Linked DNA regions of Callithrix jacchus. The protein of the gene in region 2 binds, or shares a complex with, the protein of the main gene of each other region. Links are inferred from orthologs where the notes say so. Each region holds a gene or a part of one and is shown on either strand. Other genes may lie near its edges.

What was found. The genes of interacting proteins can lie anywhere in the genome.
Region 1: PA2G4 (region 2) and SRSF1 share a complex: the UniProt entries of both Homo sapiens proteins name them as parts of the ribonucleoprotein complex. The link is inferred for Callithrix jacchus from reciprocal best matches to the Homo sapiens genes PA2G4 and SRSF1.

Annotation. Positions count from the first base shown.
Region 1 is NC_133506.1:108,327,653-108,334,888, forward strand, and holds the start of SRSF1 (serine/arginine-rich splicing factor 1), read left to right. Parts: upstream 1-3,108; 5' UTR 3,109-3,231; coding exon 3,232-3,425; exon of another isoform or gene 3,426-3,841; coding exon 3,842-4,026; exon of another isoform or gene 4,027-4,391; coding exon 4,392-4,564; exon of another isoform or gene 4,565-4,764; coding exon 4,765-4,951; exon of another isoform or gene 4,952-5,324; coding exon 5,325-5,347; coding exon of another isoform or gene 5,348-5,363; 3' UTR 5,364-7,236. UniProt on the Homo sapiens protein: Plays a role in preventing exon skipping, ensuring the accuracy of splicing and regulating alternative splicing.
Region 2 is NC_133510.1:63,563,934-63,567,944, forward strand, and holds the start of PA2G4 (proliferation-associated protein 2G4), read right to left. Parts: upstream 2,801-4,011; 5' UTR 2,608-2,800; coding exon 2,520-2,607; intron 394-2,519; coding exon 265-393; intron 1-264. UniProt on the Homo sapiens protein: May play a role in a ERBB3-regulated signal transduction pathway. Seems be involved in growth regulation. Acts a corepressor of the androgen receptor (AR) and is regulated by the ERBB3 ligand neuregulin-1/heregulin (HRG).

The DNA.
Region 1 (7,236 bases), on a different chromosome or scaffold from region 2:
TTGTGATCTGCCCACCTCGGCCTCCCAAAGTGCTGGGATTACAGGCAGGAGCCACCACACTCGGCCCTTCATCTCTTCTTAAAATGAATTACCCAATTATTGGCTTATCATTAATTAACAGAAGATTTGCCTGTATAAATTTAAATTGATGGAGAAAAGAACAGAAAGAAAATGTGTCCAGCAAATAACTTTGAATAAAAGAATCAAAAGGCTGCAAGTTTTTTAGAACTCTCCTCTTTTCTGCCATTCACTTAATGGAACAATGCTAGAAACATTAAATTTGTTGAAATAGTATCTCTTTTGGTCCTCATCAAAAAAAAAAAAAAAAAAAAAATTCAGGCTCTGGCCAGGCACAGTGGCTCACACCTGTAGTTCCCTCCCTTTTGGGAGGCTAAGACAGGAGGATCACATGACTTCAGGAGTTCGAGAGCAGCCTAGGTAACATGGCAAGACGCCATCACCATAAAAAATACAAAAATCAGTCTGAAGCGGTGGTACAGGTACGTACTCTACTAAAGTTACAGGTACGTACCACCGCTTCAGACTGATTTTTGTATTTTCTGTAGTGATTTTGCATTTTTTGTAGCTGTAGTCCCAGCTACTTAGAAGATTGAGGTGGGAAGATGGCTTGGGTCCAGGAGGTTGAGGCTGAAGTGAGCTGTGATTGTACCACTGCATTCCAGCCTGAATGACAGAGCAAGTCCCTGTCTAAAAAAAAAAAAAAAATTGGCTGGGTTCAGGGGCTCATGCCTGTAATCCCACCACTTTGGGAGGCTGAGGCTGGTGGATCACTTGAGGCCAGGAGTTCGAGACCAGCCTGGCCAACATGGCAAAACCCTGTTTCTTCTAAAAATACAAAAATTAGCTGGACATGGTGGCACATGTCTGTAATTCTAACTACTTGGAAGGCTGAGGCACAAGAATGGCTTGAGCCAGGGAAGCAGAGGTTGCAGGGAGCTGAGATCACATCATTGCACTCCACCCTGGGTGACTCAAAAAAAAAATACATACATACATATATATATATATATATATATATATATATATATACACACACACACACACACACACACATATAGTTCTTTTCCCTTTTGGGATCTATGGACTCCTTTAAGAATTTGATTAAAATTTCAAATCCTCTTCCTAGAAAAAAGTACACACATGCATATATTTTTGTAGATGTACACATGCATAAAACTTTGGAAAATATTACAGAAAGTTCGACTACCGAACGTCATCTGTGCATATATTGAGGGTCCACAGACACAAGACCAAGCATTCCTGCTTATTTCAATTTGATTTTTTTTCTTTTTCTTTTTTTTGAGACGGAGTTTCACTCTGTCGCCCATGCTGGAGTACAGTGGCTCGATCCCGGCTCACGGCAACCTCTGCTCTCCGGGTTCAAGCGATTCTCCTGCCTCAGCCTCCTGAGTAGCTGGGACTACAGGCGCACGCCACCATGCCCAGCTAATTTTTATATTTTTAGTAGAGACAGGCTTTCACCATATTGGCCAGGTTGGCCTCAAAACTCCTGACCTTGTGATCTGTCGGCCTGCCTCAGCCTCCCAAACTGCTGGGATTACAAGCGCCCGCCACCACACCTGGCTTTTTATTTTTATTTATTTATTTATTTATTTTTTGAGACGGAGTTTCTCTATTGTTACCCAGGCTGGAGTGCAATGGCGCGATCTCGGCTCACTGCAACCTCTGCCTCCTGGGTTCAGGCAATTCTCCTGCCTCAGCCTCCCGAGTAGGTAGGATTACAGGCACGTGCCACCATGCCCAGCTCATTTTTTGTATTTTTTAGTAGAGACGGGGTTTCACCATGTTGACTAGGATGGTCTCGATCTCTTGACCTCGTGATCCACCCGCCTCGGCCTCCCAAAGTGCTGGGATTACAGGCGTGAGCCACCGCGATTGGTTTTCACCATGTTGGCCAAGCTGGTCTTGAACTACTGACCTCAATGTGACCCGCCCATCAAAGTGCTGGCGTGAGCTACCACGCCCAGCCTGATTTTAATTTGAATTCATTACCTTAAAAATCCCTGGATTTAACATAAAAAATCTAGATTTTAGACGTCGGAAAAAAATGTAAAATATTATCTCCCAAGACTGCAGGCAAGTAGATCACAGTCCTGAGTAGCAACCGCGGTCTCTAGTGGTTACGGTTCTCACATCCATTTCGCTCCATTTTATTACCTGAGAGGACTGGTAGTTTCAAAACCTGGTATATCAGTAACTTTTAGGGAAAACTGCACACACGCACCCCTTCTTCCTTCTCTTTATTTGAAAGGAAACAACGGAAACAAATTTGCAAATCTTTTGCGCCAGTCCCACGGATAGGCGACTAACAAGAGATACAGAGGTGTGGGTCCCAGAGGCGGTACGGTGTTTTCACCCCTTCCGGATAGCTAGTACGACCTACCCACCGCGACTAAGCACAAGGAGTGCTGAACTAAGCTATGCAAAGTTCTGACCAGAAGGTGGAACGGTACTTAGTGAAGAGGATTTATTTAGGAATCGAAATCGGTTTTGCTAAATTAGACAAATCTCATTGTCTAAGGAGCCACGCCCTGTTCGCAGGAGGAGAGGGAAGACAAACCAACGCCCCAGCTCTCCAATGGCACCTCAGCTCTGAACTAGACGCACTCTACAAGGATGCCTGGGTTTCCGGAGCAACCGCCCGGTCCCTCCCCCTTTGGCCCCGCCCCCGAGACTCCTTCCCGCCAAAGGCCGTTATCGCCGCAGAGCATGGTGGGACAAGGCTCTAGGCTAGGTTTCACCAAGTCCTTTCAAGGCGCCGAGTTGCTTTCAGAGATCCTCATTCCTGGGGAAACTGACTGTCCTTCAAGACCCGACCTGGAAGACTAGCTCCTTTAGAGAGAGTTCTTTATTTAACTTTTACCAAACGGCCACTCTATTCGCAAACCACCCCAAGCCGGGAACGCGGGGGACTTTTTTTCCCCCTTCGTGCGGAGGGTGACGTCGCGCGTGCGTGCGCGCGCGTACGTTGAACGTAGTCTTCGCAGCGCGTGCGTGTTGGGATCGAATCGCTGTTTCCTTCCGCTTCTCTTCCTCTGTCTCCCCCCCCCCCCATATCCGTGCGCCGAACTGATAAAGGCGCCATTTTGGAGGGGCCGCGGGAGACGTGGTGCCGCTGCGGGCTTGCTCTGCCGTGCGCTAGGCTTGGTGGGAAGGCCCGTTCTCGAGTCCACGTTTTTCGTCGCCGCCATGTCGGGAGGTGGTGTGATTCGTGGCCCCGCAGGGAACAACGATTGCCGCATTTACGTGGGTAACTTACCTCCAGACATCCGAACCAAGGACATTGAGGACGTGTTCTACAAATACGGCGCTATCCGCGACATCGATCTCAAGAATCGCCGCGGGGGACCGCCCTTCGCCTTCGTTGAGTTCGAGGACCCGCGGTGAGGCGGCATGGGGCTTGCAGCCTTGAGGAAATAGGTCCGAGTGGTCGGGGAAGACTCCAAGGCCTTAATATAGAGAACGGGAAGGCGGGGGCTCTTAGAGAGGATGGGGCGAGACTGTATCGCCCATGCAGGAGTCGAGTGAGGAGCTGAGTTGGTGTGGCTTCTCTGGCGCCTCGCCTTGGACGTCCCCGGAGCCCATTCGCAGGCTGGAGCGGGAAACTGAGGCGCTGAGGGCTGGTGTAGTGGCTGGGAGCCTGGCGTGTTTCTGGGTGGGGGAGGGGTCATTCCCATTATGCGGCGCATGTGGGCTCTTCCACGTTGGGTGCGCATGTGCGGGGGGTTCGCTGGTTCCCGACTGAGCGATCTTCTCCTCCTGGTCTTTCTCATGCCTTTTACTGTCTACGATCCCGCAGGGACGCGGAAGACGCGGTGTATGGTCGCGACGGCTATGATTACGATGGATATCGTCTGCGGGTGGAGTTTCCTCGAAGCGGCCGTGGAACAGGCCGAGGAGGCGGCGGGGGTGGAGGTGGCGGAGCTCCCCGAGGTCGCTATGGCCCCCCATCCAGGCGGTCTGAAAACAGAGTGGTTGTCTCTGGTAAGTCTACCGGTTGTGTGGTTGATGTGAAGGGACGGAAACTACTTAAAAATTTTCTCTTGCGTGACCGGTTTAACAATTGCAAATTTTTCATGCTAGGTCTTAAATTGCTTTAGTTTTTGGGTGAATTTAATAAACGAGGATTGCTGCTGTGGTGATTTACCAAATTAGGTTGCGGTACTAGATACGAAGATCCGTTACAAATAATTTTGGACTCTGGATTCCAGAATCTTACCAGCTCTTTACCTGGTATCACTTAAGTACAACTATTAAGTATTTTAAAGTACTCTTTGTCCTAATGTACCTTATCAGCTTAACGTGAAATTTAAGATAATTGATACTAAGAAAAAAAATCGCTTTTTCAGGACTGCCTCCAAGTGGAAGTTGGCAGGATTTAAAGGATCACATGCGTGAAGCAGGTGATGTATGTTATGCTGATGTTTACCGAGATGGCACTGGTGTCGTGGAGTTTGTACGGAAAGAAGATATGACCTATGCAGTTCGAAAACTGGATAACACTAAGTTTAGATCCCATGAGGTAGGTTATATGCTTATTCTTTTTTTTGACCAGAATTGGATACAGTGGTCTTAACAGTGGAATTTGAAGGTAAGGATTCAGGCAAGGGTGTCCAAGTAAATTGCCAGATTTCTGGTTTTAGTTACATTGTATTCATTCAGCATGCCTGAAGCTAGGTGAAAGCTTAGATCTTTCAATGGAAAGTTCTGTCTATCCAATAGGGAGAAACTGCCTACATCCGGGTTAAAGTTGATGGGCCCAGAAGTCCAAGTTATGGAAGATCTCGATCTCGAAGCCGTAGTCGTAGCAGAAGCCGTAGCAGAAGCAACAGCAGGAGTCGCAGTTACTCCCCAAGGAGAAGCAGAGGATCACCACGCTATTCTCCCCGTCATAGCAGATCTCGCTCTCGTACATAAGATGATTGGTGACACTTTTTGTAGAACCCATGTTGTATACAGTTTTCCTTTATTCAGTACAATCTTTTCATTTTTTAATTCAAACTGTTTTGTTCAGAATGGGCTAAAGTGTTGAATTGCATTCTTGTAATATCCCTTTGCTCCTAACATCTACATTCCCCTCGTGTCTTCGATAAATTGTATTTTAAGTGATGTCATAGACAGGATTGTTTAAATTTAGTTAACTCCATACTCTTCAGACTGTGATATTGTGTAAATGTCTATTTTGCCCTGATTTGTGTGAACTGGGATGTTGGGGATGTTTATGGTTATCTTACCTGGGGAAGTTCTTATGTTTATCTTGCTTTTCATGTGTCTTTCTGTAGACATATCTGAAGAGATGGATTAAGAATGCTTTGGATTAAGGATTGTGGAGCACATTTCAATCATTTTAGGATTGTCAAAAGGAGGATTGAGGAGGATCAGATCAATAATGGAGGCAATGGTATGACTCCAAGTGCTATTGTCACAGATGAAATTGGCAGTATTGACCTTATACTAAAAGGCAGGGGGGTAAAAATGATTATATACATTTTCCTTAAAACACTTGAATGTTTTATTCAGTTACCTTTAGCTACAATTGCTTTACCTTTTAAACCTTGGCAATTGTGGCAAAATTATGTTGCCCATTTTGTAGCAACTTATTTTGCTCCCTTCCCCCCATTTTTGTTATAATAGGGACTAATGTGGGAAGAACTGGCTAATTTGTCGCAGTGCTTAGTTACAACTGTTAATGTGTGACCTGCTGTTGGTGTACATGTGGGTAGAGGGTGTCTTTAAATCCAACAAGATAGAGTATAATATCAATACTGCTAAATCTGCATGTCCTCTGTGTGACTGATAGAGCGTTGCTATTTCATTTTTTTAAGACAAAATGAAAGCAAAATAATAGAGTTCCAATGTATTGGTGTAGATAATCTAGTTGGGAATACTTAGGTCTCACCTTCCCCTTTAATATTCATAATTGATTCATATGTTTAAAACACTTTAATTTACAAATTAAATTGCAAATGGGAGCATTAGATTTAGTTTTAGATTAGGTGGGTAGCAATGCCAGTAAACTTAAATTACATAACTTCTTGCAACCACGAAACCTGTAATACACTGTACAGTAACAAGTGTTGGCATTATCAGTTGAACTGTAAATATAAGATGCTTCTTCCAGTTAGTCTCTATGATGATTAAGTTTCTAAAATTTATCTGAACACCATTCAGAAACTTGTTTTGGGGAATTTGATAGTTATTGATGTGCATCTGTTAAACTGATGACTGACATAACTCATCATTCCCCAGAAACCTTTTTTGATTACAGTATCTAACGTTTTGCCTCCTCTTTTTTGGTTTTGCTGGTTATAAAGGTTTGGATTGGAGAGGGCTCACTGGATCCCAATCCTTGGAGCTGGATCATTGGATTCAAATCATAATGTGGATAGGATAGGGAGGATGAATTACCAGGATTCATGGAGCGGGATCAGATTACCAGGAACATAGGAGTGGATTCCTGCCCCAACCAAACCGCATTCGTGTGGATTTTTTTATTCAACTTAATTGGCTATTCCAAAGATTTTTTTTTTTCCTATTTTTGACGATTGGAGCCCTTAAGATGCACGATGGAATTGTGTTTTGCATTTTTTGGTAAAAGGAGCAAAGCGAGGACCTGGAGATAAACGCTGGAGCAATCTCCTTGGAAGGATTCAGCACGAGTAGATGGTAAACATTTAAAGGGGAAAAGGGGGGGGTTTGTTTAAAATAGTAAATCAGTAAGTCACTTCTAAATTTAAAGAAAACAAAATTGGAGTTGAAGAATAAGTAGGTTTCCAATTGGCTATTGCCATTTTTCTTTGAAAAAATAAACATTTTTTAAAAAACTATGCATGGTTGTCCTTTTTCCTCTTCATGTAAGATTCTAACTGGGTCTGTCAGTTAATCTTTAAATTGTTAAGTAAGATTTTGACTCTTGTGTTTATATGTTAGCAAATTAAAAGTTCTTAAAAGGCAATCTAATGGTATTAGCTATCTTTTATTGTTAATTGTAAAAGTCTTCAGGGGAAGGCAAAAGGGGAATAAGGCGTTTGTATATGTAATGTAAATGATGGTGGGGGGTGGGTCTAGCATCTGAAAGATAAGCTTCTCAACTTTGTAAAGTGATTTAAAAACTACAGATGCTGCTTATTTTCTGGTAGTCATATAGGCAACAGGCTTTTGTGCAAAATTGGTTGATGGCTAGTAAATTAATTT
Region 2 (4,011 bases):
AATCATCAGCCTACTGCCTTGCTTTCTCCTGGGAGCCCTGTTGCCCTTCAGAAAAGTGTAAGGATATTTTCAGGGACTTGCTTAAGCTTTGATCAGTTTGGATTAGGAAGAAAACTGCTTGTATCCCATTTGCCATTCCAAATTTTCAAATATCTCAACCAGAGCTGGAGTGGAGACTGCATCATTACAATGAAAAAAATAAAACATATAGAACTAAATAAGGGTCAAATGGGAAATTAGTGAGGTTTTTTTTTTTTTTTTTACCTTTCTTCATTTCCTTTTCTTTTTTGAAGATTTTCCCTGTTTCTTCCATAATCATGGCATCACCTTTCTCACACAGGCTCAGTACCGACACACCTGAGCTAGATGCTTCCACCAAGGACCGAAGTACCCCTGAGGACAGAATGCCATCATGTCAGCCTTGTATGTATTTATTGTCTAGTTACCACCCAAGGAATACCTGGAAGCTGGACTTAGGAGTCTGTAATACTCTCTAGTGCTACTGCCCCGAGGCTGAAAGGACAACATTCCCTTCCCTTCCTTATTACGTTACAAGTGGGTATATACAATCCATCTTCCTAGGCAAGGCCTTGGACTTTCCAAAGATGCTACCTTTGGTGTGACAGGACAGAGTTATGAACTTTAGAGGGTTCTTGCCAAGGTATGCCCACATACACGCAAAGACAAGATGAAATTTATAGGCATCAGGGACAACAAGAAGGTAGACAGAATTGCAGACTCGAAGCTGATGCATTATTAAATGTTACCGCCTTCCTTTCTCAGACATTCTAATTAGGTGTTAGGAATCTCAACCTATGTAGACTTATTTCCTCATAAACAAGAGTATAAGCCAAAGGGGCTTAACCTAAGGTCCCTGGGTTTCATTTCAGGGGATCATGGCTTATCTCAAAGAGATGTGAGGCCAAATTTACAAAATTTATATCTGAGATCACAATGGCCTGAAGTTATAAACTGCAAAAAAGAGACTTTCTGATTCAAACTACTATCTCAAATACTAACAGGCACCAAAAACCAGGGTACTATACTAAATGTCCACTGTGCACAGGTTTGATTTTTGAAATCTCAGTTTTGGTGATTCTTTGAAAGCTGGTAAAAACTCAGATTTTCACCCACAGGACCGGAGGCATCCTAAATACCGCTTCCCCACCATCTTTGCTGTTAAAACCATTTAAAAGCTGGGCACAGTGGCTCACACCTGCAGTCCAGGCACTTTGGGAGGCCAACGTGTGCGGATACCTGAGGTCAGGAGTTCAAGACCGGCCTGGCCAACATGGTGAAACCCGGTCTCCACTAAAAATACAAAAAACAAGCTAGGCATAAGGACATGCTCCAGTAATCCCAGCTGTTGTGAGGCTAAGGCAGGAGAATCGCTTGAACCCAGGAGGCGGAGGTTGCAGTGAGCCAAGACTGCGCCATTGCACTCCAGCCTGGGCAACAAGAGTGAAACTCTGTCTCAAAAAACAACAACAACAAAAACCAAAAAACCACACACACACACACACCCCAAAAAACATTTAAAAGCCCACGGACAAGCAGTTTCTATCTCCCTGAGTTTTAAGTAAAATGGAAAGGCGAATTGGAAAGAGAGAAAAGAGAAAGTGACATCTGCCTACAGTGACAGGCTACTGCTGAGATCGTCAGAGCACAGCTTGAATAAAGATGACTTGTGACAATCCTAAAATCAGTCCTCTCTTTTCCAGTACTGTTTGCAAGCTTGCCTAGTTGGGATAAGACGGGGACTCCAAAACATTTGAGTTGTCAAGTCACTGAGAACAACAAATGTGAATGCTAACTAAGGCTATCTGCACAGATTGGAAAGGTGGTAGTAATGAGTAACTTCAAGAAAAGCCATATATATCTCCAAGACTTTGGTTAGAAGCTCCCGGAGTGCCCTCCAACGGATCCCTTAGCTGGTCCAAGGGTAGAAGGGGGCCCCCACCAGGGTAAGAGCTGAAGTAAAGGAAAGGCTCCAGCAAAGCACGTGGCAAGGAAGCTGGTGTCAGGGACAGTAGTGGAGGAAGAAGGGGGCCAGCCATCCGCAAGGGGACCCAGCAACACGTGCGAGAGGCTCGGCTCCTGAAGCCCCAGAGAATCGACAAAACAAGAGGGGGGCTTCTGTCGCCAATAGCTGGGCGCTTCCTTTTCGAGGTGGCCTCGCCGCTGCCAGAATCAGATGAAGCAGAAATCGGGACTGAAGGATTGGAACAGGAGAAAACCTGTCTTGCCTCCTAACAAACGGCCTCGGGTCGGAGCCTGCCAGGGGTCCCTCTCTGCGCTCATCCCAGTCGCCGGCCCACACGTCCACAGACTTCAGCCTGGGCCTGGCCACTCAGGTCCCAGGCGCTACACCCGGTCTTTCCACCACGCCGCCCCCAGAGAACCGGTGCGGACCCCTCGGTAGCTCACTCCGCATGACCCCTCCTCTCCAGCCCCTTTGGGGCCAGCCTGGCACCTTTCCCTGTCAGCTTTGATTCCCCGACCCCTGAGGCCGCACTCACGGTTGGCGATGTCGCCCCCCATCTTATACTTGGTCACGACCAGGTCCTCGGCGATAGTTTGCTCCTGCTGCTCGTCCTCGCCCGACATCTTCCTACCACCACCACTGCAGCCTGGTTTCCCCTGAGCCGCCGCCTCTGTCCCCGTTCCCAGCCTCAGGCTGTGGTCAGAGTCCCCTAGATCCTCGAGGAGAGGGCGAGCGAAAGCGCGAGCAAGCAAGGGAGCGGGCAAGCTGGCGAGAGCGAGAAGCTGCGAGCGCGCGGGCTGAGGCGCAGGGCACGCTGGGACAACTAGTCCTCTTCACCGCCAGCCTCTAGCCGCCCTCGGGGGCTTGAGAACTACAATTCCCAGCCTGCCTCTCGCCCTCCTAAGCCAGGCCCAGGGGCCTTGCCCTCCAAGGGCCTCGCACGCCGGAATTGCCGGGCACGCTGGGAAGGGTCAGGCTCCGGCGGGAAGGCGGAGCCGTTGGGGAGCTTGCGGGGAAGCGTGGTCTCTCCCGGAAAAACCACTTCCACCGAGAACTCTGAGCGAGAGCCCGTAACAGAGAGGGGCGGGCCGAGGGGAGAGGGGCGGAGCTACGGCGGGGAAATAGGTTTAGAGGCAAGGGTGGAGCCGGGGCGGGTGGGCAGTGTCTACACCTAGGGCGGGGAAGCGGGGTGCGCCCTTCCTTGGATCCCTCGATCGGCTGGCGAAACCCGCCCAGCCGGTCCAGTAGTCCTGCGAAGCTGGGAGAATAGGGAGAGGCAGACAGATGGAAGAAGACCTAGGGTGCTGGGAGCAGGGGCTAACTGGGCAGCCAGAATCCGGAGGGATCATCCATTTAAAGGCCTCCCAATCTAGAGGCTGGACTCCTTAAAGAAGTAACATGACATTGTTCCAATAACAGGCTGGATGGAGCACTTAAGGGAAGTGTTCAGAAAGACAGATGTTTGTTGAGAGCGCTTACTGTGAAAAAACAAAATAAAAAGATTTGGTGACTTTTCTAAGAATGAATTCAGAAACACGTAGAGGTTTCAGTATTTGGCCTCTGAAGGAGACCGGACACGTATATAGTGCTTTTTATAAGTCCCCAAGCACGTGGGTTATTTGTTTTTGTTATTCTCAATTGTTTTTGCTTTGTAGATTCCTACTAAAACCCCAAAGGACTATAAGCTATGCTTGTTCTAAAGAAATACAAGTAATAATAGGACTAGAGAAAGCTGCATGGGACGGAGTAGCATTGTCAGAAGACAGAAAGGTGACTGTCCTCTGCTGAGGAGATCTATCTAACATATGAAATGTTTTCATTTGACAGACAGGAAGCTGAAAAAAACTTTGGCATTTTTATTCAGACATGTATAAAAACAAAACATTTCAGTGATACAACAGATATTTTCCCTCAGTTCCCCATCCAAAGGAACAGAGGCGTGAAACTGGGTCTTCTTTCTATCCTACCTGGAAGCTTCTTACTGCTGGGATGAGAATGGCTCCTAAAAGTGAATCTTGGGGGAATCC